4 linked regions of the Drosophila melanogaster genome follow. The protein of the gene in region 2 interacts with the protein of the main gene of each other region in a pairwise test. Each region holds a gene or a part of one and is shown on either strand. Other genes may lie near its edges.

What was found.
Region 1: the proteins of Lk6 (region 2) and CG15109 interact in a two-hybrid assay, tested with the Drosophila melanogaster proteins (one large-scale study listed by BioGRID).
Region 3: the proteins of Lk6 (region 2) and CG3492 interact in a two-hybrid assay, tested with the Drosophila melanogaster proteins (one large-scale study listed by BioGRID).
Region 4: the proteins of Lk6 (region 2) and Sec24AB interact in a two-hybrid assay, tested with the Drosophila melanogaster proteins (one large-scale study listed by BioGRID).

The regions. Positions count from the first base shown.
Region 1 is NT_033778.4:19,055,959-19,062,440, reverse strand, and holds CG15109 (uncharacterized protein), read right to left. Parts: upstream 3,021-6,482; 5' UTR 2,955-3,020; intron 2,846-2,954; 5' UTR 2,823-2,845; coding exon 2,798-2,822; exon of another isoform or gene 2,707-2,797; coding exon 1,562-2,706; 3' UTR 1,376-1,561; downstream 1-1,375.
Region 2 is NT_033777.3:11,758,756-11,765,965, forward strand, and holds the start of Lk6 (Lk6 kinase), read right to left. Parts: upstream 5,703-7,210; 5' UTR 4,892-5,702; coding exon 4,729-4,891; intron 1,325-4,728; exon of another isoform or gene 806-1,324; coding exon of another isoform or gene 799-805; intron 1-798.
Region 3 is NT_033778.4:24,470,030-24,476,482, forward strand, and holds CG3492 (uncharacterized protein), read left to right. Parts: upstream 1-2,682; 5' UTR 2,683-2,808; coding exon 2,809-4,023; 3' UTR 4,024-4,197; downstream 4,198-6,453. Other genes in the region: CG3494 (uncharacterized protein), read left to right, coding at 4,430-5,152; CG16837 (uncharacterized protein), read left to right, coding at 5,442-5,515, 5,587-5,905.
Region 4 is NT_033778.4:9,875,356-9,885,965, forward strand, and holds Sec24AB (secretory 24AB), read right to left. Parts: upstream 7,003-10,610; 5' UTR 6,828-7,002; exon of another isoform or gene 6,041-6,827; intron 5,862-6,040; 5' UTR 5,838-5,861; coding exon 4,341-5,837; intron 4,280-4,340; coding exon 4,153-4,279; intron 4,089-4,152; coding exon 3,589-4,088; intron 3,530-3,588; coding exon 3,304-3,529; intron 3,200-3,303; coding exon 2,577-3,199; intron 2,522-2,576; coding exon 2,289-2,521; intron 2,236-2,288; coding exon 2,138-2,235; intron 2,085-2,137; coding exon 1,946-2,084; intron 1,883-1,945; coding exon 1,771-1,882; 3' UTR 877-1,770; downstream 1-876. Other genes in the region: CG12744 (uncharacterized protein), read left to right, coding at 159-604, 661-697; CG1513 (uncharacterized protein), read right to left, coding at 8,402-8,488, 8,542-8,647, 8,730-8,851, 9,267-9,353, 9,411-9,546, 9,608-9,782, 9,845-9,946, 10,006-10,157 and 1 more.

The sequences.
Region 1 (6,482 bases), on a different chromosome or scaffold from region 2:
ATTTATATTTATATTTATATTTATATTTGTATTGTACGCAACTTAAAGCTATTTACGCAGATGTCAACTTAAAGCGAAAATGGCATTGGTGACGAAAGTGTGGCAAAAGTTAATGCACTTGCAGTGCTGACAGGACCTTGGAGTTGAGTGGAATGCGGAATGGCTGATGCAAGCATTTATTATTTACACTTGTAAATAAATATATATGTGTGCGAGGGTCTATGTTGGAGGGGGCCTGGTCACTTAGCAGCGGGAATTGCACATACATTCGCATTTACACTCCAGTTAACACCCCAGGGACATTGGCAGTGCCACCACAGAGAGAGAAATAATGTTTGCCTTACTTTTATATCTATAACAAATATAAGATATTTTTTGAGTGTACTAGAAATTATTATATAAATGTTAAATTCCTAGAAATAAGCAAGTACGTCCTTTAATTATTATATTTTTATGTCTGTTAACGTATGAAACACTATAAATATTTAATTAAATAATTAAATCTTTATACCACTCTCCAAATATAATTATTGTGCAATCTTATTCCATTCTTTCTATTTTTCCAAATGTATCTTGAAGTCGAAGGAGCTACGCAATTTTACGAATGCTGCGTTGCACTTTTCCGCTTGGCACATGTAGATGTACTGCTGGCATCTAGTGCAGTTTATATAGATTATATACGTGGATTTGTGAAGCAAATTTGTATTTATGCTGATGGCCAGGCACCCATGACACTCGCTATTTCAATGGCTTGCCTTTCCCTGGTGTTCCCAGTCCTGAAGCCTGAATTCTGATTCTCGATTCCTGACTCCCGGCACATTATGTGCCCCATTTAATGTCTATGTATGTGCAGCCAGTACACTTGCACATACTATGGCACACACTTACACGCCCAGTGAACGTCAAGTGGCAATTTACATTAGTTTTATTGTATACGAAATTAGCAGCATTTAGCAGTGGCAGCCGGCAAAACTTTTGCCTTTCGGCTCCGTTCGCTATGTCCCACCCCTACACCCATACACACACACACATGTATTGCTATAAATGGAGGATATATTCTCATCCGCAGTCAAGGGTTTGTATGTTAGATTTGTTTGCTCGTTTGGCTGCACTGTCGCACTCGGCATATCAATTTTCCCGCTCATCCACCTCTCCCCTCAGGACATTTCAAGGTAGGAAATCGATTTTGTTAATGAAAACGAAGGAGAACTTCAAGGAGAAGGCCACCCAGGGGATCGGGTGTCGATTGGAGCGTAAGTTTGATATTTGTTACGGGCGGAACAATGGCCATTCTGCTCGATGATGGCATTCCCGAAGGATTATATTGCAACTTTCGAGCTTGATTTTTTATATTCTTCCGCTGAACATAGTTATTATGATGTGTATTTAGTTTTTATTGTCTGTTTTTTGTATACAAAGTAAAAATGGTCTCGCCACTCCTTACATATGCAAGAAATATAAACATCTTCCAGTTGAAGCAACAAAAAATAAAAAAAAGAATGCGGAAAAACAAGTAACCTAAAATTTTTAAGAAACATTGTGACAGCTGCCCGTTTCAGGTTCACACTAGATGGCACTCGTTCACCAAAACGACATCATCTTCGACCACGTCGCCATTACGATTGGCATGGTGCTCATGGTGAATGGGACAGCTGACGATGAGCTCCTCCTTGGGTTCCATCTTCTGTGCCTCCTTCTTGGCCTTCTTCGTTAGTGCCTTATCCTTGATGCCCTTCTTTTTTTCCATCTCCAGCTCCAATTCTAGGTGATCGCCCAGCAGGTGATCGATGACATCGGGATTGTTGCGCAAAGCCAGATCCATGGCGCCATCAAGGAATTGATAGAGGGGTGAACTAACGTGACGCTGTGGCTCCTTTGGTGGTTCCAGCAAGAGATTTCCCTCGAAATTGGGCTGCAACAGCTGTTGCAGCATGTAGAGCATCGGTGGCACAGCCGGCGAGGATTTATGCTTGCGATGGTGCTTCAGTGGTGCTGCATTATGAAGTCCGCGTGGAGTGTTCTCGGCTGCATTCAGCAGTAGCACTCCGGCCAATTCCGGTGGCAGAACTTCCGGACCGTAGTTCAGCTCCTGCTGCACACTCTCAATCATCATGTTGGGCGCCAGCAGCTCGAACTCCTTTATCTCGTGCTTGCCATCTGGCGAAACCAGCTTGTTGTAGTACACGTAGGGATTGGAATTGGGATTGGGATTGGGATTAAGATTGGGATTAGGGTTGGGTGGCAATGAGGTGGCCATAGCAGCAGCTTCCACCGCTGGGCGACGCTTGTGGTGCAATTGTCGTGGCTGCAGACTGTCGTCCATCAGGCTACCCAAACGCCTCTTGGGACGGCGCAGTCCCAGCAGATCCTCCACTAGCTGAAATTTTCCGGCATCCGGAGGCGAGGATGTGGATGCCACAGCAGCAAGTGATGATGATAATGCGGTGGTGGTTGTGGAGCTAGTGGTTTTTCCACGAACTCCCATACTGCGCACCGGTCCAGCAGTAATCTTCTGCTCCGGAGATGTGGCGGCTTCAGTCATGTTAGCGGTGGTAATGGTACTATTGGCCAACACGGTGGCTTTTCCGCTCAGTGAAGCAGTATTGTCCATTGTAGTGGTTTCATTATAATCACTTGCAGTATCGCCTTGAGAACGCTTCATGCGCAGACAATCGCCGTACATCGGCCGCATCAACATGAGGACACCTTAAGCAAAACAATGGATGCGTTTGAAATACACGCAATTAATTATAAATAATTGCATGCTAGATGGTACTGAAAACTAACGTATACTTACACCCAAGGATCAGCAAGTAGTTCATCTTGTATTGCATGATAGGCAGCGCTGTGGAAGACAGTTGAGTTGAAAAAGTGAAAAGTGACCACAAATATTCTCAGAGTTGAATATTTATTGTAGATTTTTTTCCACCAGAATAGTTACAATTTGAACTTACTTTATTTGATTGGAGTGGGTTCTAGGTGTGCTCGGCACAAAGTTTGTACTGAAAATAATTCGAAATGCTTCCTGCCTCATGGCGAGGCTTTGACAGACAGCTGGGGACCTGGTAAAAGGTTACTGAGAGTACGAAAAAAAAAATCGAATTTCAATATTTTTCTGATGGGGATTTTCCACACACACTCACTTCCATTTGTGGCGACCTTTTCAAGTGCTGCAAATGGCAGCAATGGTACAAAAACAAAAAAAAAAGTAACAAAACACAACCGCGCACACCAAAAAAGTTTGTTTCGTGGGCCGCAAACAAAAGCAAACAGTGGAAAAAGTTTAGCTTATAAATTTCCAATCAATTTTTCGTGCAAAAATCAAGCGACCTCACACTCACACACAGGCACAAGCTCAAGTGTTCATACACGTAGTGTGTGCCTGCGTGTGAGTAGCTATTACTTGATTAATAAATATTAGCAGCAAAAATTGGAAAATTCTCAGCGAAGCGTAAAAGTGCAAACACCCAAACGGAAATGCGATACATTTGCGAAATGGCAGGAGCATTTTCCAAAACATCGATGCTTCTCTACGCACACAAGCACGCACACAGCACTACTCACCTACTCCATGTAACTTTTGATATAAAAGGTATATAAGAATTATCGAAGATATGAAATATAGGTTATGAATCTGCATGGATTGACTTATTGACTTAAACTATAATTTCCCATTTGTTCAAAATGTAACAACTATATCTTCTTTTGTGTTATATATCAAATGAATTTTGGTTACTTTCAAAAGGGTATTTCTTTCTCGATTCCCGTTTTTTTAGCCTAAAACTTGAACTTGTTTCTGCCGCCTTCGTCTTTAGGCATTAATAATGTAAAGTGCGTGCGTCAAATGTGAATTCCTTGCTGCCAACGCACGCGATTTCATAAACTGGCGACATTTTCAACAAACAATTCTCATCGCCGTCTTCGATGTGCTTGTGTGTGTGTGTGTGTGTGCGCCCTTCGAGGCGACTTGGCGCTCAGGTGGATTTTGGGGTGCAGGAGGCGGTAAACCAAGGGACCCCGAGGAGCAGGCACTTTTCCTTATCAGCTTAAATGTAAATGCCAAACGAGTGCACTGAAGGCGGGGAGGGGGGTCGAAAGGGGGCGTGGCTGAGCAGCAGCTGTTGCTGCATTGGGGATTTGCACATTTATACTCGCATATTGTAGCCCCACTCCTCGAAAACCCCGTTTTTCCGGTCCATCCTGCTGTCTCGTTTTCATCTTCTCGTTTTTTATCTGCCAAAGTTGATTTTTCGAGTGTATTGAATAAAAGTCGATTTTCCCCTTCTGGATTTGTGCGCGTTCGACAAGCGGCTTAAATGCGTACAGTTAATACATATCCTTTTTGCATATGTCTGCGTGTCTGGGGCTTATAAGCCAGTGTGTAAGTGGGTGTGCGTGCTCTTGCTTTGATGTGTGAGTCCGTTAAGGTCGTGGCTTATTAGGGGTCCGAAACCTTTGCCGCAGTGCATCAACGCGGCGGGATTTGCACGCAGACACTGCAAAAAGGCTCCCAAGACGATCCACTATAATTGGTAGCGAAAATCACGCATCCGCCGTGTGGGTCAAGTGGTGCTAGGGGAACTGGTCTAGCAATTGCTTTGATCTCGGGCGGAAAATCGGTGAGTGCGACTTTTATTAAATGTTTCCCTTTCGATTTGTTTCGGCGGAAAAGACTCCGGCTTTGTAAACTTTCATTAGTTGCCTCGTTAATATTCCAATTGTTGACACACAAAGGCGAAAGGTGGTGGAGGGGATGGCTGGCTTAACCTGTGTATAAAGGAATTTAATTAATAACGTCCTTCGTCCTTTTGCGTGTGCAGCGCGGCGTAAACTTAATTAAATGCGCAAGTGGCAAGTAGCAAGTAGCTGGGGCCACAGTGGCAAATGACAAGTGGAGATGCAGGACCAGCAGACGCAACTGGAGAAGCTCAGGTGCAAAGGTTGAAGGTAACACCTGGCCCGGCTAGAAGTAAGAAAAAAAAACGTTAAGGAAACCCTCCTGCCCCACATGTCAAAAGTTTTATTGGCGCAAACGCTACTTTTATGGCTACTGTTAATAGTGAAAAATGGTGCAACAAAAGCCAGAATGATGGCAGATGCTTAGACAAAACCAGATGGAAATGGCAAACGGGGGGAGCGGCAAGTTCATCGAGTTGGTCATAAAACAACGAGTTGTGGCTCAGTGACTTTAACGCGCTTCCATCTTTACGAGTTTGGTGCGCCGGGTTTATAACCTGTAACTGGGGGCAAAGTTTATTAAGTTTATGCCAAGTGCATCAAATATGCAAAACCGCTATAGTTGATCATCTTGGATGCTCGATGGATTTGACTTCGAGTCTGACGGAGATGTCTTTTAGCATAATCGCTGGTTATTGCTATAAAACCGGTTGGCAATCATTCTATGCTGATTTTATGATAATCACAATTTCAGCTGTGATCTATTAAAGGTGCTTTCTTCTGTGAGTTAAGTTGGATATATTTTTCTAATGGGAAAAAATCGTTAAAGTAAATAGTCTTCTTGTTTTTGCATTTAATAATGCCATATAATTCTGTTTACATAGGTTTTAAAATATATCATGCCTTTTCCTTCTTAGCTTTATGAAAGTGTGACATATTTTTCTGCGTGTCAAAGAGTTTGAAAAGTGATTTGCAGCCAAACTATAAAATGCACTGGCATTTCGGACTGTTTTTAGTGCAGAAGCTTGACTGACGACCGTAAGAAGTTACGCCCATTCCACGCATTCTAAATCAATTTCAGTCGAACGCCTTTCGCCTGGCATTGATTTATGGCCCAAATCCAAACGTCGTCTAAGTGGAAAAGCCGAACCGAAAAGAGGCGCAACTTTACCGAATTATATTTCAATTTTGGCAGCGAAAATGAAACAGAAACAGAGCCATACCGAGTCCACAAAAGTGGGGCGTGGCTGGGGAAAAGATGTTAAGAACTTTTTGACAATTGACTTAAAAAGTTTCCTCAAGCTGGCAGAAATTGACTGCCTTTTGTATACAAATAGGCCGAAATCACCAAGCCCACACACACACACACACACACACATATGGACAGGGCAAACGGAAAAGCTGGAGAAAATGGTGCCGCGTCCATGAAGCGGAAGTAAACACATAAAACGGAAATGAAAATTCAATTATTTCGTTACGATTGTTCAACTTTTTGTTGTTGTTGTTTTCAGTGTGCATCTGTGTGTGTGTGTGTGTATGTGTGTTTTGTGCTCTCATTTCGTGTGGCAGGCAGAGGCCAAAAAAAGTTTAACATTAAGTTAACGTGCAACTCGCTTCGTGGGTCAGCATATGCAACTTTAGCTCTTTTTGGGCAAATTCAATTTTAGCTGCCACTTTTTTGGGGCATGTGTATGTGTGTGTGTGTGTCTGCACCGAAACGAAAGGGCCGCACATTTAAATGCGATTTTTAACAGTCGCTTCACGCACAATTAGCCTCTCGAATCGATTTTCACTTAAAGCGTTTT
Region 2 (7,210 bases):
ATATTAATATTGTTCAATTAAAAATGCAAATATTTTAATTGGAATTTCAAAAATTTAGATTTCGTTAACATTTTATTCAGCCTACATCTAAAAACACACTTTAATCAGTTAAAAGAATTCTTTTGTAACTCCGCAAATTAATTAAACATTTCATATACATGTTATTTACACGTTCCCTTGCGAATGGTCTAGAATGCTGAAGAGATGCCACCCCAACAACTCACTCTTTTTTTTCTTAAACCACCTTCTTCTCCTGACACCATGAATTCACGGGCAGGCAGAGACACTAACACTCTTGCACACATCACACACGAACGTTATCTGCACGCCTGTGTTTGTGTGCTGTAAAGAAGCAGAAAATTATTGCGCAGCAAATGAAATTGTAAAAGCGAAAAAATGTATGAAAACGGCGAGAGAACCAGAACATAAGGTATGACAATAAAAAATAAGATGAGGAATTAAATTAGAGAATAACCAAATGGGAATATATTACCATAGTTATTATATGCATACAAGGTCGTTTTAGTTACTTTAATTTTTAAATTAAAAATCAGTTGTTTAAAGATAAGCCTAAAATGTAATTGCTTTTAGCAGCCTGTAAAATGTAGAGGAAACTTGGAACTAAAACAATAACAAAAATGCAAAAACCGGCATTTCGAAACGTTTCCCCTCACATACAGATGCACATGCCCATCACGTTATGTGGGTGTGAGTGAGCAGGGCTGAGTGTGTGCGACAGTTCTCTCATCTCATCTCGTTCCTAGACTTTGTTGCTATCGTTGTTGTTGCTGTATTTACCTAACATGTTTGCTGCCTTTTGCCGCTGATGTTGTTGCTGCTGCTGCTGTTCGCCTTTTAATCGCAACGCAATTTGTCTAAGCAACGCCCGTTCTGCTGCTTGTTCTTCTTCTGGGCGGCACGTTTTTTGCAATGCGTAGATAAAACCGCCTGCCTTCGATATATATTGCTCCCCGTCGATATGGTATTGCTTTAGTTTCGAATTAGTTGTTTGTTTAATTACGATGTTGGGCTAATTTTAACCCTATTCCGGTTGGATCATCATCGATTTGAAGTACACTTTTCCCTTTTCGACCGACGAAAACGAAAACGACAATTTACTGCTGAATGATTGTTATTATTGGAAGCACAGGGAAAATTGTTCAGATCAAATGGCCGGGAATTTCGAATTAGATTTATTTCGCGTTTATGTGAGATTAGTACCGGCGACAAAAACCAATTGGCCAAAAAAATGAATTTGAAAGAAATGGAAAAACACGGACAAATCTTTGCGGACCTACGTCGCGCGGCGCCAACGAGGAAAGAATCGAATTCAAACACGCGCCCGCTTTCGGGGGAGCGACAAAAACTGAAAACCAAACTACCGCGGTGCGCGAAGAGCGAAAAAAGAGCGGTGGGCGGCGAGCGAAGAGAGCGGCCGAAACGAGAGCGAGAGTTGTAACAAATAGATATGTATGTATATGTTTATAATGCGCTGTTTGCAAGGGTAGCGATAAACATACTTTGTACATACATATGTACAAGCATAGATATGTACGTAGTTAGAAGCCTGCTCAATAATTGCGAGTGTCGTTCGTCATAGGACAACAAAAACAATAAGTCAATCTTTTTGCTTACACTCAAATTAAAAAAGCAGCCCGGAAGAGAAACGCCTCTGGTTGCAAAAATCCGGTTTCAAATCGAATGCACAACAATTACCGGCCATGTCAATTCATCGAGTCAAGTTAGTTGGTCGATACAAACTCATATTTGCTGAGATCTCGATGGCAAAGAGAAAACATTAGCTATGTGTTTGCCGATCGAGTTCTTGTCTTTCGAGGGGTGTAAATATTGACACACTAGTTTAGGCCAGATTAAGGAGGTAACCGATACTGATACCTGTACCTCCACCGATACCTGTGTTATCACACAACCTGGCCAATAAGCCCACGCACACCAACGCATCGGCGGCGGAAAGAGAGCGGCGATAAAGCCACATCATATTGGACACAGAACCAGTTTTGACAAAAAGTCGCTTTGTGGTTGTGTCCGACACGCCGCAAGCAAAACAAAAACAGCAACAGGAAAAACAATAACAAAGCGACAAACCGAGAAGCGGTCGAAAGAGAGAGACTAAAGTTTAAGAGAGCGGCACAGGAAGAGACCGGTGCGGGAGAGCGTTACATGATGCAATTAAGTTCTTGTAAAAAGAGAGTACACAGGAAGAAATATGGTTGTGGCATATGATTGATTTTTAACGGTTAGAGCATAGTTTTACAGTGGCACATAAACTAAACGTATTTCACTGAACAGCCTAATGTTTTCATATTTAGCTAATTTGAAGTAAACAAGTTATTTTTCTTTCAGTGCAGAGAGAGCCCTGTTTCATTGTTTTTGTACGTTTTGGAGTGTGAGAGCGCGATGCCCGAGAAAATGTCGTGAAAGACGTGGAGCAGAGGTGCGAGGGAGAGAGACAGACTCCAACACCAATGCCAATGCATACCAATGAAGGTGGTGTGATGTGCGCGAGTTCTGTTTAAAAGCAAACAAGTGGAAAGGGCAAACAGCAAAACAAAAACTACATTTAACTTGCTTTGTTTTCGTTTTGCACAGTAAACAACACATATGCCTCAGCTGACGTTTTTTCCACTGCGGCATTGCCACAGCTAAAAAATAAATTTCTCTCTCAGGGCTTTTGCGCAAACGAGCAAGGGAGACAGAGATATATTGGGCTGATTTCATGAATCGGAGGAGGCTGCACGTAGGCACCACTAGATGTCCTCCTATCGATAGGCCTCGATAGAATGAAAAACTTCTCGATAATTATGGAAAATTATTATGGATCGTTGGGGGGAAAACAAGTTTCCAGCTGGTGGGCTCCAATTGACAGCGTTTTGCACTCAGTTGATTGCAGCTGCAAAATCCACTCCAGCACAACTCCTAATGGGCGCACACATTTTATATGTGTGGGAGGCCAAGCAACGAACGTCACACCAAGTGCAATAAACGTCATGAAGGTTATAATCGTAGTTTGTTCACATTTCGCCGCGTTCGCTGCATTTTGGGCACGAATACGCATTTGAACACGAGTGTCAGTGCATTACGCTCAATCGATCAGCCATCATGAGTCATTTTCCATTTCCATAACTGCCTGCACACGCTCAATTTCAATTTCTCGGTCTCGGCTAGCTGGCACAGATACTAGTGCCGTCTCTCTCACTTCGCCGGCAGCTTTGGTGGTGTTGGTGGAATGGCAGGGAAAAGGAATACCCTTTTGTGCTTGGAATCTAGTATTGCTTAAATTGATAATCATATTATGCGAATTTATACCAGTCAACTGGTCTAATTACAAAGGGTAACTATTGGTGCTGAAATCTACATATGTATGTGTGAATATATTCCTATTGTACAGCAGTTTACCCATATGGATTTCATGATTTTTCAAAGCAGCTCACTTATGCCCGATTTTATAGGATATTAGTGGAATTAGTGGATGTCAGTGGTCCAACCCAACCGTATCTAGCATATTTACACAACAATCTGTCCTGTTTCATAAGATTATCTTTGATAAACACAAAGTATGGACTATAATCACTATCTAAACGAAAACAACAAACTTCTAGTTTAACCTCCAGTTAGAATATGACTAATTAGTGGATTTAGTTGATCTTTGTCATTGTTATTTTATAGCATATATCAAATCCCACATATAATTAAGAACTTGTGTACAATAATAACACCCCCAGTGATGGTTATAAAGTCCAGATGCTGGAATACCCCTAAAATTAGGGCACATACACACTTATATTCAGCTTAATGGCCCCAGTCGAATGATGCAATGGGGTTCTCTTGGCGAAACAAAACAACTGTAAACACCACACAGACTGTGCGGGGTGGGTGAAGGGAAGCGGAGTGGGTGGTGGGGTTGGGCGCCGGCAGGCAGACAGCATGCATGTTCTCGAACATCGTGTGACGTCAAGGAAATACACTGCGGCACCCGGTGCGCAACGTGGCCCAGTCAGTCAATGCTCCCTAGTTCGTTCGATTGATTAGCAAGGGTAAACGAAACGAAAGTGCTGCCTGGCCCAGCTTTGCCGATAACTGACTAGAAATCCACTGAATGAAAGCGTAGGAGCAATGGTCGGGTCTTTTCTCTGATTGGTAGTCAGTCCCCACCCAATGACAAGCAGAATAATACATACATATGGTTAGGAACTTTAGAGGAAGTATAACTTCCGATACAAAATATTACATTAACGTATATCTTTTTTTTACCATTGCATTTTAGCAGAAATATCCTACAAATCGTATTTTATAGGTACAACTTTAAGAAGCAAAGAACGTTTGTCACATTCTCAAAATAATAATTATATGCTTAAATAAGGCTTTTGTTTTCTTTTGGCATGCAAATAACTGTTGCCTACGAAATATACTTTATATTTAGGCAATACAACAATATTACGACAGAGATACAGGTGAATTTCCAATAGGTAGAAGTTCAAATTTATACGAAAGAGCTGCCAAATTCACAGTCAGAGCAAATATTTGCAATTATTTCATCATTCTGTTAACATGTTGTCTAGTTAAAATTAAACTGGTGACACACGAAGCGCAAATATGCGAAATCTCTTCAGAAGGTTTCCAAAATATATCTCATGCATCACAGTTTGCTTCTCAGCTATGGGAATTTAGTGTCAAACTCCCAGAGTTCTAGAAACTCAAATTGCTCACCTGACTGACTCTGGCTGCAGCTGTTGTCCGTGTTGCTGCAGGAAATGCCGCTGCCACTCCGGATGCCGCTGTCCCCAGATCCACGGGGGTGGTTGTTGTTATTGTTGTTGCTTGCTTTCGCAGCAGCGGCAGAAGCAGCTGTCCCGGACTTGGGCTCCACCATGTTGTTGCTGTTGTTGTTACTGTACGGTGCTCCTGGACGCGATTAGAGTGAGACAGGCAGAGTGCTTACAAGCTGGAAAAAGGGTTTACGGTGCAACAAATGAGCAGCAGTTTTTCTCAGTCTCTCGTGCTCTTTCCTCTCTTCTCGTTCAGTTCATTCAAAATCAAAATGGTGGCCGCCTATGGGATTTTTGTGTTTTTAATACAATGCGGCGGTTGATGAAAAAACTGATTCAATTCTGCTGCAGATGCTCCTCTCTCTCTCTCTCTCTATCTATCGCTCTCCGCTGTTTATTTATTCTTGGTTTGGTGGTTGAGTCGTCGTTGGTGTGGCTGCTGTTGTTGTTGTAATCGATGGCTGCTGCTGATTTCTCTCATCACACAGGCGAAAAAAGCTCAAGCAAAAAATGGGGTTTATCTATTTGCACCGCTTTTTTCGGTTATCTGCGATATTTTTTGTTTTTTTCTTCGGGTATTGCGATTTTTGCGTTTCACCTCTTCTTTGTGGGCTTGGTGCAGTAGTGCTGTTGCTGTGGTTGTTGCTCTTGTAGTTGTTGGTGAGATGGTTGTTGTAGTGATGGAGGCGTTAATTTAGTTCTATTTTATTTTCCGGAGCTGCTGGAGATGGCTGGTGTGGCGGTGGAGTTGGTCGTTAAAATTTCCTCTGCTGATTACAACACAAAAAAAATCGCTGAATAGCGGACAAAAGCCGTTTTCTTTGCGTATTTCGCTTTAAGTTTCCTTCCCAGCTACCGATCCATTTTCAAAGTTCGAATGATTCCGACGAATGACGACGAATTCATCCGTGTGGCCGGAGGTACCATTTTGGTAGGACCGTTTTTCGGGCCAACGAAAATACCACAAGACGGCAGCGACACTAGGGTTTTTTGCTTCAAATGTAGTATGGCTACGCAACTCACATATGGTTGAGAACTTCGCTGTTTATTTGGTGGTTAAACTAGCTAAATACAATAAGAGTGGCAACGCCGTCACGTTTTCTACATGTATTTTACTTGGCGTAGTGCGCCAAGCTTATAAACCACAGTTGGGCGGTTCTTTTGAATTGTTTAATTTACACCCCACTATGAAACTTATTAGCCTTCTTTATTTATTTTATATTTTATTTTTGGGAAGAATACGTTTACTCAAGGTTCGCAGCTTGTCAATCAGTATTCGCAAATATCAATAATAAAAGGCATCAATTTTCCAATCAGCAGTTGAAAAGAACTCCCCTCGACATTTGAACAAAATGCATTTTTGGGTGATTATAATTTATTAGAATTTTTATTGACTTAAGGTAAATATAAATAAAATATTATTCAAGTACAAAGTTATATATACTCATTAATATTATTTGATTCAAGTAAATATATTTCAAAGTGGCGGTGTTTTATTATATCATTTTTCAATTAAGTACAATTTACTGTTCCTGCTCTATTTCTATGGGTTCGCAGAGAGTCCAAAAGTACTCTTAACACTCGGTCCTGTAAGGTGTGTATAATTTTCGGGCAGGCCATTTTCGGATTTGGCCCGACCGGAAAATATTGCGAGCCATTGACGACGCACCTGCAAGTTTTAAACCTGGCTTATTGACTCGTGATTTCCTCGTCTTTGAGACCCGGGGATCGAGTACTTGTGGGTACTTTGCGAACCCGGACTTCAAACCTTGCCCATGCAACAATTGTATCTTTGTGTAGTTTACGTTTAATCAATGAATTTGGATCACAAACAGTAAATACGTCTTTAACGATAATTGCAGTTGAATTAAACATATTAAGATAAGGGTAGTGGGGTGGGGGTACCTTTGTTTTAATTATAAAAATATTATATCTGCATTTTACATGTTTTTGTTTCGCTACTATCGTTTTTGCTCGAAATTACATAAGTCCAGCCTTAAAACAAGTAATTTTCGTCACCAATCGCATTCGCGCACGCTCCATTATCCATAACACTCGGTTTCGTCATCAATTCAATTCAATTCAATTTTGCATTTAAACGCTACGTTGCCTTAACTTCAGTCCTTTCGCAGAAAATCTAACCCTTAAATGTATTTAGCTCTTCGCCCGTCGATCCTTTTTCTTCCCTCCTTCCTTCCTTCACATCCCCCGCATGCTGCAGACACTAAACATAAATTCAATACGTACAGTTTCAAATTGGATGCGCGGCATCGTATCGTCGTTTAATGTAAAAGGTGTAATGCTACGCGCCCTTTTCGTCTGATCCTTGCCCTAAATGCCATCCTAGGGTATTAATCCATCCACCTCTAACTACAATTTAACTTCTCTTTGGCCGCAAACCCCCCGCATTACTTATTTAGCTC
Region 3 (6,453 bases), on a different chromosome or scaffold from region 2:
TTGGGTTCGGGCCGTCGTCGGGCTATTAACACCTTGGCTTATTGTTAATTAGGCCCGCTTGCTAACTGATATAATCCCCGCAGGCTCGTCCTGTGGGCCAAACTTGATTTGTCATCTCGGTTAATTACTGGTTTCGAGAGCGACTGCTAAGACATTAATAGCATTAATTAACTGATGGCTCCGGGCACAGCCCATTCAGACACTCAACGACTGTCGAAAGGGGATCCAGCCTGGGGGGCCTGGAATCGATGGCATTTGAGCCAAGGCAATGGTTAATTGGAGCTGATTTAATGGTCTGGATGGAAGCTGGTGTCAGTCTTAAAGTCTCGGCTTGTTGTGCGGAGTATTAAATGCCTTCTGCGGATGGTATTTTAATATCCGTTCGCTTCACCCTCGCCAAGTCCCAGCTTAAATACCTGCACATTCCGTTTACAAGATTTCTGCTGTCTTACCAAAATCCCCCACCACTTTTCGGCGGTAAGCAGATATGACAATCACAAAGTGCTCCAAACCATGAGCTGAGCGAAAACAGAATGTCATAAAAATATACACTTGTGCCACTTGGGCCATACTCGCATACTCGTACGCACAAAGGAACACACTATGTGTGTAATCCAGGAGCCGGGCAGCAATAAGACAGGTCCTCCTAGGTTCCATAAGCCAGATTCCCGATGCTGGGATAATGGAGGCGAAAGACGCGTCGGAGCAGACAAAATAAAATCACATTTTCGGAGCCAGAGCATTTATGATCCATTATGCTCTCAACTAGGGGCTCCGGCTTTGTTTTCGCCCATAAGAAAATGACTGGGAATGAATGGGGGCTTGGGGCATTGGCCACAAGGTCAGAGCGTGGCAGAGTGATGTATACATTCAAGAGCACTTTATCGCCTGGTGGCTATTATTTGACTATAATTTTAGTTATATCTGAGGAGCTCATGAGCACAGGTGCTGCGACATCATGACAACAGAGAGAGCTTCTTTCAAAATCGAAATATGCAAATAGGTTTTAAAGAACTTATGGCCGGAACGAGGGCTTTAACATATTTACCCCGGACTGGTTGGAGAATTTCATATATAACCAGACCCAGACCGACATTCCGGTGCAAATATGCACCATGTTGTCACAGGGCATTGTGGGTAAAATAAGTTAAATAAAATAAAATCGAGTATGCATGTGCATGTGTGCTTGATCAAATTGCAGTCACTTGTCGGCGTGGGTGTGTGGGTGTGTTTATTGTTGACACATTTTGAGACGTACCCTGCAATATGGATATCAAGTGCGAATGCCATGGCTCGGCACTAGAGAAAGTACAAAACACGTCGTGGAGGTGAAAGTTGGACCAACTGCGATGATAATACGCCATCTGATGCACCAGGGGGGCGTGGCACTCGAGAATAAAAACGCTTAAGTGGTTCAATGTCTATGGAGGCACCCATCAACCATCCAGACCGCCCAACCACCCACTTTGACGTTGATTGTTGAGCGATAAGAGCGTTGGCTTAATGACACTTGGCCCGGCACTCTTAGCCCGGTCGGGATGTCCTTCAGCTGACGTCCTCGTTGGCGGCTGAGTGGGGGCCATTAATGCATCGGATTAACCCAACCATATGCAGATATGAGTATATCCCCCGTCGAAGCTCGTCTATCCTTCAATCGTGCTGTGCCGCAGACAATCGCATTAATCATTTAATTGTGACCGCAAAAGCCCTACCATATTAACAATCAATTAATTCTATGCGAATAGATTTTTTAATGTGCATTGTTTTTATCTGCACTCGAATATGGGCACCATATGTTATTGATATTGTTTAATCCGATTTAAAAAGGGACTGAATCGACCAGCGCCCTGCCTTTGATTTAATACACGGCCTCGGATGAGTAAAAAATACACAAATATTATAAATTAAAAGGCCGTGCAAATCAGTGGTTTCTATTGTTATTACTTTGCATTGCTGCTCCATTTATCCACACTTTGTCGCACAGTCATTCAAGTGCCACGGCCACTAATTGTCCATCCTGCCAACGGTTGAACGGACTTAAAAACACCGATTGCATTGACAAAAAGTGTCAAAACCATTTCATGGCCCATTTAACCAGCGATTACAACAAGCCAAAAGCGCGGAAAATAAAGCCAAATCCGGATGCAGCAAATGAGCAACAAATAATGAAGCTCTTAAATATGTGGACATGGGGACACAATAGTATTCAATAGTATTCAGTTAAAGTAGCTAACTGGCCAAAAAACAATGGGAATTAGAAGTGCAGTGAAGTTACAATGGCTGATGTGAAGTTCGCTTTTAATGACGTGCATATTTGCTGATTTTAATTTAATCACTAATTACACGAATGCAAGTTTGCATTTATGAGGCCACCGCAGTGTTAATTCCGTTCAAAATAGTTGAAAATAATTAAATTGAGCTTCATAGTTTAGTACTTTACATATGTACGCATACGTATGTGCGCCTCATTATACATCGAATTAATAATTGATGCCGAAATGTGCAATTTCACGTTGTTTTCCACATCAAAGCATATTCAGACGCGCCGCGGCACGCACTTTATGTTCCAGTTAGTTATAGTTTATAAAAACGCATATGGCAGATAATTAAGTGGGCTCACGCTCTAATCCAGATGGCTTCTCGCAGTTATAGTTTTCAATCCAGGTGACCTATGCCAGTTAGTTCGACCCATCCCCTCCAAATCCAATCAGTCAAACATTTCTTACCACACACGTACAACCCGAACCCCGCTTAGTCATTTCAAATTCAAGTATATAGACTACATTGATTTTGGAAGAGTTAGCCACAATGTTCATCCGCGGAGATGCGCCACAAGCTTCCCGGGGCAAAATTCCCCAGATCCCCAGCTCCATGACGCCCTATGTGGCGGCAGTGAAGCGCGGACCCTACACAATGACCAATCCGGTGTACAACACCCACAATCCCAACCTGGTGGGCTTGGATGGCCAGGTGGAGGATTCCCGGCCCAAGCACACCTTTAATGTGAAGAGGCAAGAGCTGGAGAATAACTACCGGCACCACCAGCGGCTGATCCCCGTGCCCACTTCCCGGAGGACGATGCCCAAGATCCGATCCCACATAGTGATGAACGAGCAGCGGGAGCTGTATCGCCAGCACCGCGATCGAATGTCCAACATCAAGGGCAAGGTCAACACCTATCTGCCGCCCCCGAAGGTGCAGATCGAGGGAAATGGCATGGAGCTCTCCTACATGGAGATGCTGACCGCACTCTACAAGAAGAGCAACAACACGCTGCGGACCTTCACCAAGTCGCCGGAGCGCCTGGCAGCCGGCAGGTGGCGCAATGCCAACTTGGCCCGGGAGAAGGAGCGCCGCCAACTGGAGAAGAACAAGGAGTTCCACAAGGGAGGCGAGCTGTTTGACCCAGAGGCGGGCAAGTCAAAGCGGTACAAGCCCAAGTCCTCGGGCTCCTTCAGCTGCGAGATTCCCATGCACGTGCTCCATCGCTACGAGAACTTGATGGACCAATGCGACGTGGGCGTTCTGTGCAAGCTGCTGCGTCCGCAGATCTACCTGGACATCGAGGTGCGGGAAGCCCGCATCCAGGGCAGGCTGATCATCCAGCTCTTCACCGAGGCCTGTCCGCAGGTGGTGCTGGAGTTCATGAGGATCTGCACCCAGAACAACAGTAGCGCCATCGTATTCAACCGCGCCCTGGCGCCCATTTGGATGGAGGGACGACTGGCCATGGATCCGCAGAGAAGCACCGAGCTGACCAACATCGAGCACGACTTCGAGGTGCTGAACCACGGAGTGGACGCCGGAATCCTCTCCTTTCCCAGTCGCTATGTCAGGGGAAACGCCCGGACTGCCGTCAACTTCACCATCAGCTTTAAGCCCCTGTCCATTCTCAACGGCAGGAGAATCGCCTTCGGGAAGGTTCGCAAGGGCATGCAGCTCCTGGAGAGGATTCAGGTGGCCGTCGGACACCTGCCCATGAGCCACAACTTGATCTCGCTGACGGACTGTGGAGTGATCTGAGAGGTGTAAAATTTCCAGTAGATAGTTGGGATCTACTCATAACTTTTCGAAGAAAATTAATTAGGATCAATTGCTAGGCGGAAATCTATATTCTTATTCTTAAGCCATGTCACCCCACTTAAAGCTGCTGTAAACCACAAGTAAATGATTAATGTGCATAGATACATAGATACGAGATACACTTGTGCATTCATTCCAAGTATCTTGAATATGGGTTTGATGGATCACAATCCCTTTGGATATGCTGTTTCCTCCTTCATATATATATACTTCGATATTTCAGTTTTCCGTTTGAATCAGGCGAAGCAAGTCACAAAGCATTATACACTTTTTCTAGAATTCAGTAAGTTTGCTCACTTCAACTTCTTTACGGAATCGATTCATTCTGTACTAGGTAATCCTCGACATGTATATGGTTTGTGACGGATTGAACAGCCCCAGGCTGCAGGGAGGAAAGGAAGCGGAAGCGGATGGGAGTCAGTGGCCGTTTCCGGACAAGTACCACATGAGGAACACCCGGATCCTTCAGGTGTCAAAGGCTCAAATCAGCGAGGTGCCCATGGAGGTATTCGAGGCAGCTCAGCAGGAGCTAGTGAATATCGTGAGCTTGGATGGCAACAGGTTGCTCGAGATGCCCAAAGATCTGCCCTTGCTCTCCGAGCACCTCACCCAGTTGGTCCTGAACAAAAACCAGATCTCCTTCGTTCCCACCAACATCTCGCAGTACTCGAAGTTGACTAACCTGAGCCTCTCCAACAATCTTCTGTGCGACTTGCCCATGGAGTTGGGCGGACTGCGGCTGCTCCGCAATCTGGACATCTCCCACAATCGCTTCCGCCAGTTGCCACGCTGCATCTACGAGCTAGAGAGACTGGAAACCTTGTCGGCCCACGACAACCAGATCCGTGCCATCGATGCTAGTGAATCGGGCCTGGGCGGAATGCGGGAACTGAAGAGATTGAACTTGGGAAACAATGACATCCAAATAGTGCCGCCGATCTTGGGCAAAATGCAGAATCTCGTGGAATTGGAGCTGTGGGGAAATCCCTTCCGCCAGCCCCGCCACCAGATTCTATCGATGGGGACTCCGGCGCTGCTCAGCTACTTGCGCACCCGCATTCCTATATAAATCATATATTATTTATTATTAATTCAAATCAAATTTCAAAGTATTGCCAAATAAATTGACAGCAGTGCAGTTTAGCCCCTAATTCCGTAGTTTTGCTTAAATCGTGCTCATGGAAGATTCCTCACCAAAGATTCCTCCTTGGGTAAGTTTCTGGCAGCCTGAGTTTGCTGAACTCGTAATGATAGTAAGCTCTGATTCCTGCGTCATCAAATCAAATAGGTCAAAACCTAGTTGGCTGGGAAGAGGACACTACTATACTCACTACTAGTTACATTTGCGAAGCCCGAAAATGTCCAGAAGTTCGAGGTTATCAGTAACTGAAACTCAGCGCAAAAGCACTCCAGTGGTAAAGAAGGCGGTTATGTAAGTTGGAACACGAAATCGTCAACAGCAACAGACCCCTTGACCTGCTCCGCATTTGTCCATCTCCCTAGTCGCAGTCGATCCTACGATGGGGATGCGTTCGTCAATCTCTTCGCCCATCGCGGCGCCCGAGACATCATGATCTTGGATAGCCATGGAGTGCCCCTCCGATCCACCTGCAGTCAGAGACGCACCTTCGTGTTCGTCTCTAACCTGAAGCCGCTGCTCTTCATGGCCCGCAACGTGGTCAGGGATCTGGACCCCTCGAACGACATAACCTTCATGCGGATTCGCTCCAATATGGGCGAAATCCACATGACCCTGGGCACGGACTTCATTTTGATCGTTGTGCAGAAGCTGAGGAGGCTCAGGAGCAGCTCAACATCATAAAACATTTCCGGTCGCTGTGCGTGTGTGTGTGCGGATGTTAATTGTACTGTATCCATATTCCACCCAAATTAAATTGCATGCAATTGCGGCAAATGAGCAAAGGTCACAGTGGATTGGGCGGAAAATTGTAAAATTTAGGAAAAGCCCAGCGAGACCAGAGCAAACTAATCCGTTTATGCAGCGCTTGCAATCCGGAAAACGCATCAAAGCGGCAATTAGTGCAGCCTCGGATGCGTCAGTTGTATCGTGGTTTGGAATCCAACGACCTCTCAATTGGGTCCGCCACATTCATTAATCTTCGCTGGTCTTTGGTAGTTGGCCTTTGGCTTTCTGAAAGCCACGATGCAGCTTCATTAAAACCCAATCACGCTGGCTGTCAGTAAGCCAAAGACCCCACTGCGCATCGCTCGATGGCCACAGATTACCGGAAAAATTAATGGATAATGGCAATTACACTTGGGCGGGCTCACAACGTGACTTTCGGGAAATCGTTACATGAGTACAGTTTCACCTGTAGAGCGAATAAAATATTTTGGATTTTTTTGCAG
Region 4 (10,610 bases), on a different chromosome or scaffold from region 2:
AAAAGAAAGACGTGTAAATAACGGAGTAAAAGAACGAGAGCGAGGAACCGTAATGCGAGTAGTTCATATGTTGATGAATTGAAAATATAGAGAGTTTCCATTCGTATATTCTTAAGCTAACATAAAAATAAACAAGTTGCATGTGAAATAAATAGATAATGGAAACGGCGTTGGCTGAAGTGCAACTTTCCTGTCTGCTGTGCGAGCAGACTTTTGATGCCACTGAGAAGCTGGACGAACACCTCCCCACCCACTTTCCGCAGCCTGTGAGCACTGGTCAAACATGCGATATATGCGGGCGCACGATGCGATCCTCGCTGGAACTGCACCAGCACTATAAAAGATACCATGAAGCCCATGTGCCCAACACAGAGGGACACTTTCAATGCCAGCTCTGCGACAAGGTATTCCTCCTCCAGGATCATCTCAAGGTACACGTGAAGATTGAGCACGCGACCGATGGCTACCAACCAGATGAGAAGTCCTTAGATTGGCAGCACTACTCTCCCAGAAGTCTAGACACAACAAACGATTATAAGCTGGATCCCATCTTGTGTCCTCCACCAAAGAGGAAGTATCCGCCGCGCTCCCCCTTCTTCAATCCGTAAGTCCAGATACCCAATTTATATTTGTCCATTATTAAAGTTGATATTTTTGCAGGAATCTCTGGCTAGGCGCTGACAACTGTTTTATGTAGAGGAACATAGAACCAGGATATGTCTTGCGAAGGGCTGACCGATTTATTGAGTCTTATGCGCCATCATCTATCCATTGTAAATGATTGTTAATTTAATTAAGGTCTTTCCCAAAACTAAATTGGGATATATTGGGAACAACAGATGTGCCTGTACATATGAAAATAAAACGCATTGCCTTATGATTTAATTAAAATTTATTTCGCTTTATATCTTGATGTACTCGTATGTGTATAAAGTATGGTACAGTATTTGTATATGGTTTTTCGATTAGTTAGCCCACTCAAAGAACGACAACTGCGCCACCTGAGGTACAGGGATGGGGTCTCTTTATTGATACAGTATAATATTCCTTCTAAGCTTAAGACATTCACTGCCTAGCAGTCCAATGAATGCAATACACAATACCAAATCCGTACATACGTTTGAAATAAGTTCGCTAACTACAGTGCAACAAAACGCCTTTCCTTACACTTATAAATAAATATAGATTTCTCTGGATTCCGGAAAATAAATACTACTGAAAACAGCAAACAATTGGGGTAAGCGATAACAATTTGTGGGGCTGAGAAGTTTGCAGAATGTTTGAAGCAGTTGGAACGAACAAAAATCGAGCTAAAGCATAATGTACAACAGTTTCGTTGGTTTATTGCATAGTTTCTATAATAAATAACGGAGCCATCCACTTCTTCGGGAGCTCTACTGACTGGTTAGCTGAACTTTTGACTAATGTTCGCCCTAAACGAACTGGCAACGATATCTTAGTTTCTGTTGTGACAAGTTGGCTCTTTCGCATTTACTATGATCTTCAATTATTTTATTTTATTTTTAGTGCAACAAATCAACAAATAAATAAATACATGCACTTTAAAATTACCTAAGCCGAGAGAGTGGGTAGGGGATGGGTGGTTAAGGTGTATCAAGTGTATGTCTGTCCCGAACTGGTCTCCATTGTTTCGCACCAGTGTCACCTGCATTCGCTTCGTGCTTCTAGTCACCAGAGTCTGAGTTTTTAGGTTCTTAGAAACTCGTATTTATGCTGCATACAATAGTGGTAGGATATCCTGCTTATATACTATTTAACCTGAGCCCGAATGTGTTGCAAAAATTCATAGTATGACAAACTAGATTCACTGCGATCGTCGGTTAATCTCTCGGTGAACTGGCCCTTGGCCGTGCTCGTGTCCCTTTAATTTAAGATAAAATAATTAGCAAGGTATTATGAATATTTTAATAGTGGTCCGACTTACCTAATTATCTGCACCAGCGCCGAGTAGGGCTTATCGTAGTTGAGTCGCAAAATAAAACGCTTCAGCACATCGTTCTCGTTGCTCACAACATTTGGCAATCCATATACATAATCACCCAGTTCTGCGGTGGAGCTGATGCCTGAAATTAGAAACAGATTAGTAACACAAATTGGTTGGGTTTTAAGATCATACCCAGAACAGCTTCCAAAACATCGGGCGGCACATTAAGGCCGACATAGATCATTATCAGCGTTCCGCAGTCCATCAGAAATATTGACCGAGAGTCCAAGCTGAAGTTAAAGCGTTCGTTATCGAAGGTCAAAAATAAATCAACTCTACTCACTGTTCCGCGGACAATTGAAGACGCGGCAGCTCCGGCAACGGTTCATCCTCGTCCTCGTCGTCATCCTGGTTCGAACTAATGTTCGAGTTGCGGGCGTGGTAGATCAACGCATCGATCTTGTACAGCTCCGGGTACACGTACTTCATTAGCTGGTCCAGCGGTAGCGTTTTCATGCAATCCATGGCGTAGACCCGATCATCCAGTCGTGTGCTAGTTCCCACACGGAAAGCGGGCTAGTGGAAAACCGAAATAAGCTGTGATAACTAAGATCATATGCAAAAAACTCACGTGCTTAAGCAGGGCCAAGATGTAGAGCGGGAGCAACGCCAGGCTGCGCGGCGCTATCAGCTGACCCGACTGTCCCGATGGCAGATTTTGTGCTATCTTGAAGGCATTGTACACGTCGATCGTAGCGTTTATGAATGCATCGCGGGCGTCCGACAAGTTGGAGGCGACCGACCGGTCAACCGCCATTTTCGACAGCAGCCCGATAATAGCTTCCGTGTCGGCTGAATGCATTACCTCTGGGAGCGAAGCGGTAACCGGCAAACACACGGTGTGCACACGGATTCGGCGCTCTCCTTCGCTGTTCGTATAGAGCAGCGCAGCTTGGAAGCAAATCGTTTTCGCGTCCGTGAGGCTCTCCTCGTAGGAGATCTGCATGCCATATCCAGCATCCGGATTCACGTTTGGCAACGAGAGCAGGTCCGTGGAGCGCACGAAGAAGTTTCCATGGAATGTATGCACCTGCAAGCCACGAGTGCAGCGGATTCGCATTACCGCCTCAAATCCAATTTTCCTGGTAAGATAGCGCTTGAAACACGAGCGGAACGATTCTACCATGTGTGGCTTTGTCTTCTGGTAGAGCGGGAAGTGGTGTACACAGCCGCCGCTATGTTTGCTAATGCCAGCTATAGGGAAATTGAAACTCCAATAAGTTAACGGTGCTCTATTACTCGTAAGAGAACTTAATGCAAAAAGGCAGTTTGAATTTACATTACTAAGAGTCACTTACAAATGGTTGCCATGTCGCTGTACTGCTGGTTCATCAGGAAGAGGTCACAAGCTATTTGATAGCCGGAGCACTCTAGGGCAAAGCGCTTGTAGAAGTCGGTTGCCGGGTTAAGGTGGGCCACGTCCTTTGCCGAGCGGTTGTTGGGATCTTCGCGCGGCTCCAAGGCTCCGGGTCCCTTGTTGGGAAGGCACGATTGAAAGACGGTTATCCGTCCGCCGGACGCTTGCTGTATACAGTATTCACGATGATTAAGGTTCCTCTTTAATTTTGAATAGCTCAACTCACCATTAGCTTGAAAGCAACCTGCAGAGCAGCACCCAAGGCGGAACCCGGATCGTGGGTGTGGGCAAACCGCTTAGGCAGTTGCTTTAATAGATCACGCACCAGTTCCTTGCACTCCTTTAGGTTTACCAGCAAACTATCAGGACGTGGCAGGAAGGGGTCCTCGATGTCCAGCAGCGTCATTTCGTGCGGCTGGTTGAGCCCCTCGGCCATGCTGTAGAAGTGCACGAAGCTGTCGAAGCAAATGAATCCCACCTGGGTCCTCGCATCACCGGGCATCTCGTCTAAGTGCCGGTTGAGTACGGCGCATGCGGCCTCCAGATAACCACTCTGCTGCGCGATTATCGAGACATCGAAGAGAAACAGGTACATGGCCGGCTGTGGCGGCCGCAACATGTACTCCGAAGGAGCAATAAACTCTATGGTGCTAGAGCGTACCTCGGGCCTTCGGGTTACGTCGCCGTATGTCTTTGTGGCCGGATCAAATTGAAAGTCATCTGGCACTGCACGAAGAAAGAAACATTGGATTACTAAATCCATTATATGCTGGGAACTCTTTTCAATTACATTCGTTGACTCGATAACACAGATTGCACTTCCACATCTTGCTGTCCACGAAGTAAACGAAGGGATTTATGTAAGTGCGGCACAGCCGGCAACGCACAATGTTGATGCACTGAATAACAGGGAGGCTCTGTGTGAGGAATTCCAAGTTAAAGTCTTTTATATCAAATTATTTTCAATAAAATTCTTACATTGACATCACGGAAGGGATGTATCACAATGCCCAGAGGCAGACGTGACTTCTGGAGCAGAGAGTTGCTCTCGGGAATCTTGGTCAGCGTACAGCGCATAATGCTCGGGCTACAGTTTATGGACTCGTGAAACTGGTTGTGCAAAACCACTTTTGGCGGAGGCAACGTTGCCGGCGTTAAGATATGCCGATTCTGCATAAGGTCGATAGTATCCTGTCCCCACAATCTGCTGAATCCCTGCTGAGCCACGTTTAGTGGAGCAGTGGTTCCATAAGGTCCCCCGGGTGCAGTCTGGGGTGCTTGCTGAGGATGTTGTCCGTAAGCCTGAGGAGGCGCCTGTGCCTGATACTGCAGTGGAGCTCCAGTCGGTTGCGTTCCGAACATTCCCGGCGGCGGTGGCTGCACTGCAGACTGAGGAGGTGGTGGCTGTTGCTGTGGTCCTGGTTGATAAACCTGGGAGTATGGATACGTCTGTGGTGTCTGCTGGGCTGGCGGCATCATGGGCTGGGCTCCCGGCGCCGCTACATTTGGTAAGCTCGGCGGCCATACCGCTCCTACTCTTGGTGGCGGCGGTGCATTCTGTAGATTGTTGTTTTGCTGGCTCTGCTGCTCGGGGTTAGTTGGTGGGGGTACTCCGTATGGGATTCGTTGCCCCGCTGGTGTTGGTCTACCGGCCATCGAGGCGCTTCCGAACATTTTGGCCGGATTTGGAGCCAAATTGGGGGGCTTTTGTCCACTAAACGGCGTCGCCATGGCATTGGGAACTAGTGCAGCGGCCACTCCGCTGGCCGCCAACAGACTGTTGGCGTCGTTGAACTGCGGTGGACCCGTCTGGGCCGAGGCCACTCCCCTGCCATCCTTTTGTGTTACTGTGGGTGCGTACTGTTGCTGGGTTTGGGGTTGTGGCAAAATGCTGGTACCTCCATTTGCTCGAGTGGTATTCAAGTTAAGATTTTCCAGATTGCTCGTCAAGTTGGCCAGAGATTGGTGCGTCGGTTGGGGCGAAGGACGCAGTCCCGACGCCAGGGGCGGATTGTTCAACGCTGCAGCGATTGGTCCTTGAGCATATTGAGGGGCAGCTCCTACTGGCCTTGGGGATGCAGTGCGCGAAGAGTTCGCACTGGACGCCCCATTGCTGCCGTTCGTAAGGGGTGGTCCGTTGGCGGCGGGCGGACGCAGATGGGGCGGCAGCGTGCTGGGCGGCAGTTGCTGCAGAGGTGTAGCTGCTCCTGACGTGGGCGGCAAGAACTGGTTCGTAATACCACTGTTGAACTGCTGCGGCGGTGGCACATTACCTGGCGCTCCTGCTCCCGGAAAAGCTGCTGCAGGAGGTGGTTGCTGGAACTGTTGTGGCTGCTTCTGTGGTATATACTGCTGACCAGGTGGAGGACCTGGCTGCTGCTGGACGCTTCCTTGCACACCATTCACAAAATTGTTTCCGTTCAGTGGCATAGGGGCGTGGGCGGGAGGCACGAAGTTCGGATTGTAAGTCGACATGCTGCTAATTCATAGGTTTGTGGTCTGAAAGATGAAGAATTACATTTTGTTTAGTTGCTATCTTATCACTAGCGAAGGTTGCGTTGCTGCCGACATGAAACAGGGAATTATCTTATCGTTCAATGTTAAAAAGCGCGTAACATGAAACAATGTGCGGCTGATAAAAGTTGTAAAGTTTTAAAGCGGGATGCTTTTCCCCGCTTACAGACAGTTTAGAATTTGCAGTGATCGAATGGAATGCGAAATTCTGCGTTATTGGAGCTTTATCACAAACTTTTAAGCTAGACTGGCTGCCTAGGTAAATGTCTTGATTCAGTGTTTACAGAACTGTGTCTACGTCAACAGTAAGTCGGAAATAGGGTGATAATTTCATATCATATTTTGCTGTTTAAACAGCTTCGACAGCAGGTCGTTATGGGTTATTATGTGATGTACAACGTGTAAGTGTGCGTGCCTCAAGCACTTGACCTCGCCATCAATGATCGCAGAAGGTGGGTCGGTTAAATTGGTGACCCAGATGCAGTGGAAGCAATCAGGAAGAGAAAGGATTTGTCTCCGGAACAAAGCAAATTTTTGATGACGTGCCTATTGGCGAAGTCAACCCGCCACGCCCACCACCCACTCAAAGAAATTGGGGCAATCAAGGCATATGTAGTGCCCATAACACGGTTACCAATCACTTATCACCTTCCCGAGCTTCAGTTTTCATTGGCATGAAGTTCCTCGGCCAGCACTTGCACTTTGTAGTTGCCTCTTCTTCTTGCGCCCTTGATTGGCGATTTTGCTGCGGACTATGAATTAGCTTTTCCGCCTTTCGTTGTGAGGAAAGGGCGGATGCAGCTGTAAAAACCACTGGTTGTACTCTTTGTTCTGGTCTTTTGTGAAATCCTTGGCTGGATTTTTCTCCGCGAACGAAAATTAAACGATTTTCGCACTTCCCTACGCTCTCTCCACTCCCAAAACTTCCTTCCGCACTAGTTTCTTTCTTACACGATTTCAAGCGCTCCTCGCGTGCTCCGGATGGATGCGAACACGTCCTATATTGGCAGGCGGATTCTTTGGACTTGGCGTCGTACGCTGCTATGCACAATTAACTTAAATGCAAACTTTTTGCATTTTCCGGAGAACAAAAAATTTTGAGGCCACGTCAATAGTGTGACCGTTGGTTTTAAAAAAGAGATGACAGTGCTCTGGGTCGCCTATCGATTGCAAATAAAATGTTATCGATACCAATGGTAACATTATTTTTGTAACAATTCAAATTTAAAACTTAACGCAATGTTTATTAAGTGAAGACAAGCAATGTATATTATATATAACTCTGTTAATGATATGAGCTTAAATGTTCGTAAGCCCGAAATCCAAAATCCATTAAAACTGCTTAAAGAACAAATCGCTTTATTTGCAATATTTGTATCTGCTTGGGAGTAGCTCAATTTCTCAATTAACACGTTGGTTAAAAAGAAAATCGCAAAAATATATACAAGTTTCCCCGGGCTTGGATATAAGTTCCAATTAATGCCATTGGGATTACAATTCTTTTATTCTACGGGGTAACTAGTTCGTTAAATATTACTTTAAATCAATTTCGAAGCGTATTTACTTTATTCGTTTCATTTTGCGTTAACTTTGCGTGAGAGTAGTCGGTAGATTTGCTGTGTGGGTGGTGTTGCTTCCTGGCTCGTAAGTTATAAAGTTATAAATTAAATTTAATGTCTATTATTCAACGTGTCTAGGAGTTCGGTTTTCAATTGGGTTCTATTGCAGTAAGGTGTAAAGGTGTGTCACCAGCGGACTCTTGGTAAAGCTTTATTGTTATTATTGTGACAAGTGGAATTCGAAACATAATACTAAAGGTAATCGTATTTGATTTATAAGCTATGCGACTGGAAAATCATTGTGCACCGTGTGTTCTATGTCCGTGTGTCTGTCCTGTGGTCTTGGAAAGAAGCGAGGGTGCAGTATCTGTCGGATACTAGCGTGTCGGTATTGTATTTCGTCTATAGCAGAGTCTTTTATTTCAAAAATAGAATCTCTATTATCCTTAAGTAACTATCATTTTGTAATCTACAACTTTTGATATATCCCATTATGTATTGGATTTCTTTCTTTGTTGCTAGTTAGTAAATGTTAGTAATGTAAAAGGTATTGAATAGGTGTCATTGTGTTGCAGTTTACTGCGATTGCCTTTGAAACACACTAGTACTTAGTAGTAAATAATAATCGTTAATTCTGTATAGAAACTGTGAGTGTTTGATTTTTCTGTCTCCGCTGAGCTGTCGAGCTTGACTCGCGTTCCAACCTAATGAGCAGAGCTTTACTCCTTTCTTTTTCTCTGTGTATATTATTTACAATTAATAACCAGACCCTGGAGCCTCCATCATGGATCTCCTTCTGCCAGTTCAGTTGTTGCTCTAACTTTTCCTGCATTCGTTACGTTGTATCGTCAGTGTTGAGAGGTTTGCGCACTTGTGGAATTAAACATATAGTTGAGGCTCGTTCTTGATATGATCCATATATATAGACGTTTTTGGTGTTGTTGCTCTCGTTGTCAGTCGGAGGCATTATCTCTTGGCCTCCTTCTCCTGCAGATACATGCGCTGACTCAGCGGCTTGGCGTAGATCCAGTTGTCGCCCACGGGCTTAAAGTGCTGTGAACGAATATTATCTGTTAACTGTTTTACCCTATATCGGGATGACGTACCTTGTGCTCCCAGGCCAGATCGTATTCCTTGCGCACCTTGGCTTGATCACGCTGCTGTTGCTCCACAACGAATTTGGCAGTTGTAGCGCGCTCGATGTCATTGAACCTGTGGAAGAGCAACGAACAAAGAGATTACATTTATCATGACTCGCAATTGGGGGTCAGGAATTAATTGGTATGCTGTTTACTTGAGTCCCGCTGTCACTTCCTTCCAAACGCGTCGCGATTCGTACTCATCCTGCTCAACGATTGGTCGAACTTGTTTCTTAAATATGGGTATGCGATTTACGTCGACGAATACTTCGGTTTTCTAGAAAATTCAAGAGATTCATTCAGATTCACTATGTGGTCAACTGATTGGGATTGGGTGTAATATTAAACACACAGCAATCATATATAAGTACAGATAGCAACAATTTGAATACAACGTTGGACAATCAGGCATAGGATTAATTTGTGGGTTCGATTTTCTAGACAAACAAAGTAAACACACAGAGGAAATGCTCCCGAGCTATTTAAGAGAAAAGCAGAAGAATCGTGGATAGTAAGTAGAGGTCTAGTTGGGGTGTGAAGGGTGGATGTGGCTGCCAACTCGTGGGGTTGTTTGTTGCAGCGTTTTGGCGCAGTATGCGGAGGAAAAAGTACAAGTAAAGGATCAACATTTACAGAAACAATATATAATAGTACACTACAAACATAAACCAAACATATTTTGGACGACTTACGTTTTTATCATGCCACTTGGCCTCCATCAAACCACTCCACTCGCCCGTAATAGAGACGAAAGGCTTCTTTTCGCTCGGCGCATAGACCTATGGATTATCCGAATTAATAAAAGAAAACAAATGTACACATTCAGAGCTAGTCACCTCTGCCGAGACCCTGTTCCGTTTGCCGCCATAGAATGGCTTGGTGAGGAACTCCACGTTGGCATAGTATCCAGACTGTGGACACTTGATCTCCACCGAACCGCCGAGCTCAATCCAAGGCACCGTAAGAATAGACCTTGGTAATGGAAATAGTCTTCAGTTGTTTGTAACCGGAAATACCACAGACACGTTCTCACCTGCCGTAGCCGTTGGGGAAGGTCACTATGTACTCCTCGCTGCGATCCACCAGGGTCACAACACCCTCACCAATGTTATGAACTCCAATGGAGAGTCCCAAGAACTTCGACTTGGTCCATACATGGGCCGCAAATGTTATTTTTTTATTATAATGCTCCGCATAGAAGGCAGAAACTGAAACAAATAAATGCGTAAGTGATAGAGGTAATAAAGTCTTGTTTTTTTCTTTGTATTACTTGGCGGATGGTGAGACACTTGCTCAGCTAAAAAGGTGAGTTGATCCCGCCTGCACCAAGGCACTGGACCGTCGCGTACCTCCTGAGCGTCTTGGGATATGCCTAATATCAAGGAAAACGCGTAAGTGGTGGTCTACAGTAGCTAGTTTTGCATTGCCTACCAGGAATGTCCCAATGGCACTGAAATACTTCTCCCAAAATTGGATTGTACGGCTTCTTGGCCACCGCACTCTTGCGCCCAGCATGGTAAGCACTCATATACCAGCGGCAGACCTGGACGATTCTGTCGCGTGGATCATCCAGATCCGATATTCTATTGGGTAAGATGCTTATGAGTTATATTACTGATATAACGCCTTGAACTTGACCATACTTTATAAACAGATCGGGATGAGCAAAGTAATCGGCGTACATTTCCAGGAGCGAGCGGCGCTCCAGAATAAACGTGGGCAGTACCACTTTCGTGAGGTCCATGCCGATTTTAACCTGGGACAGCAAGTGCGTAATCATCGATCCGTGCGCCTCCATACTGAGGTCCGTCTCTTCCTCCTCCTCGTACAGGGCGTCGTAGTCTATTCCGTTATCGTAGCTGGCACTTCGGGAACTTACTGCGGTCCTCGCTGTCTTAATGCTGGTGTCCGCATCGGCAACACTTTCATCGATCTCTGGCAGCGTTTGGGGGGCAACTGAATCGCCCACAGCCACTGGCTCGGCGTTGGCAAATCCATCCGGCGCCTTTTCATGGGTAGGCGATGTGGTTTCCGCA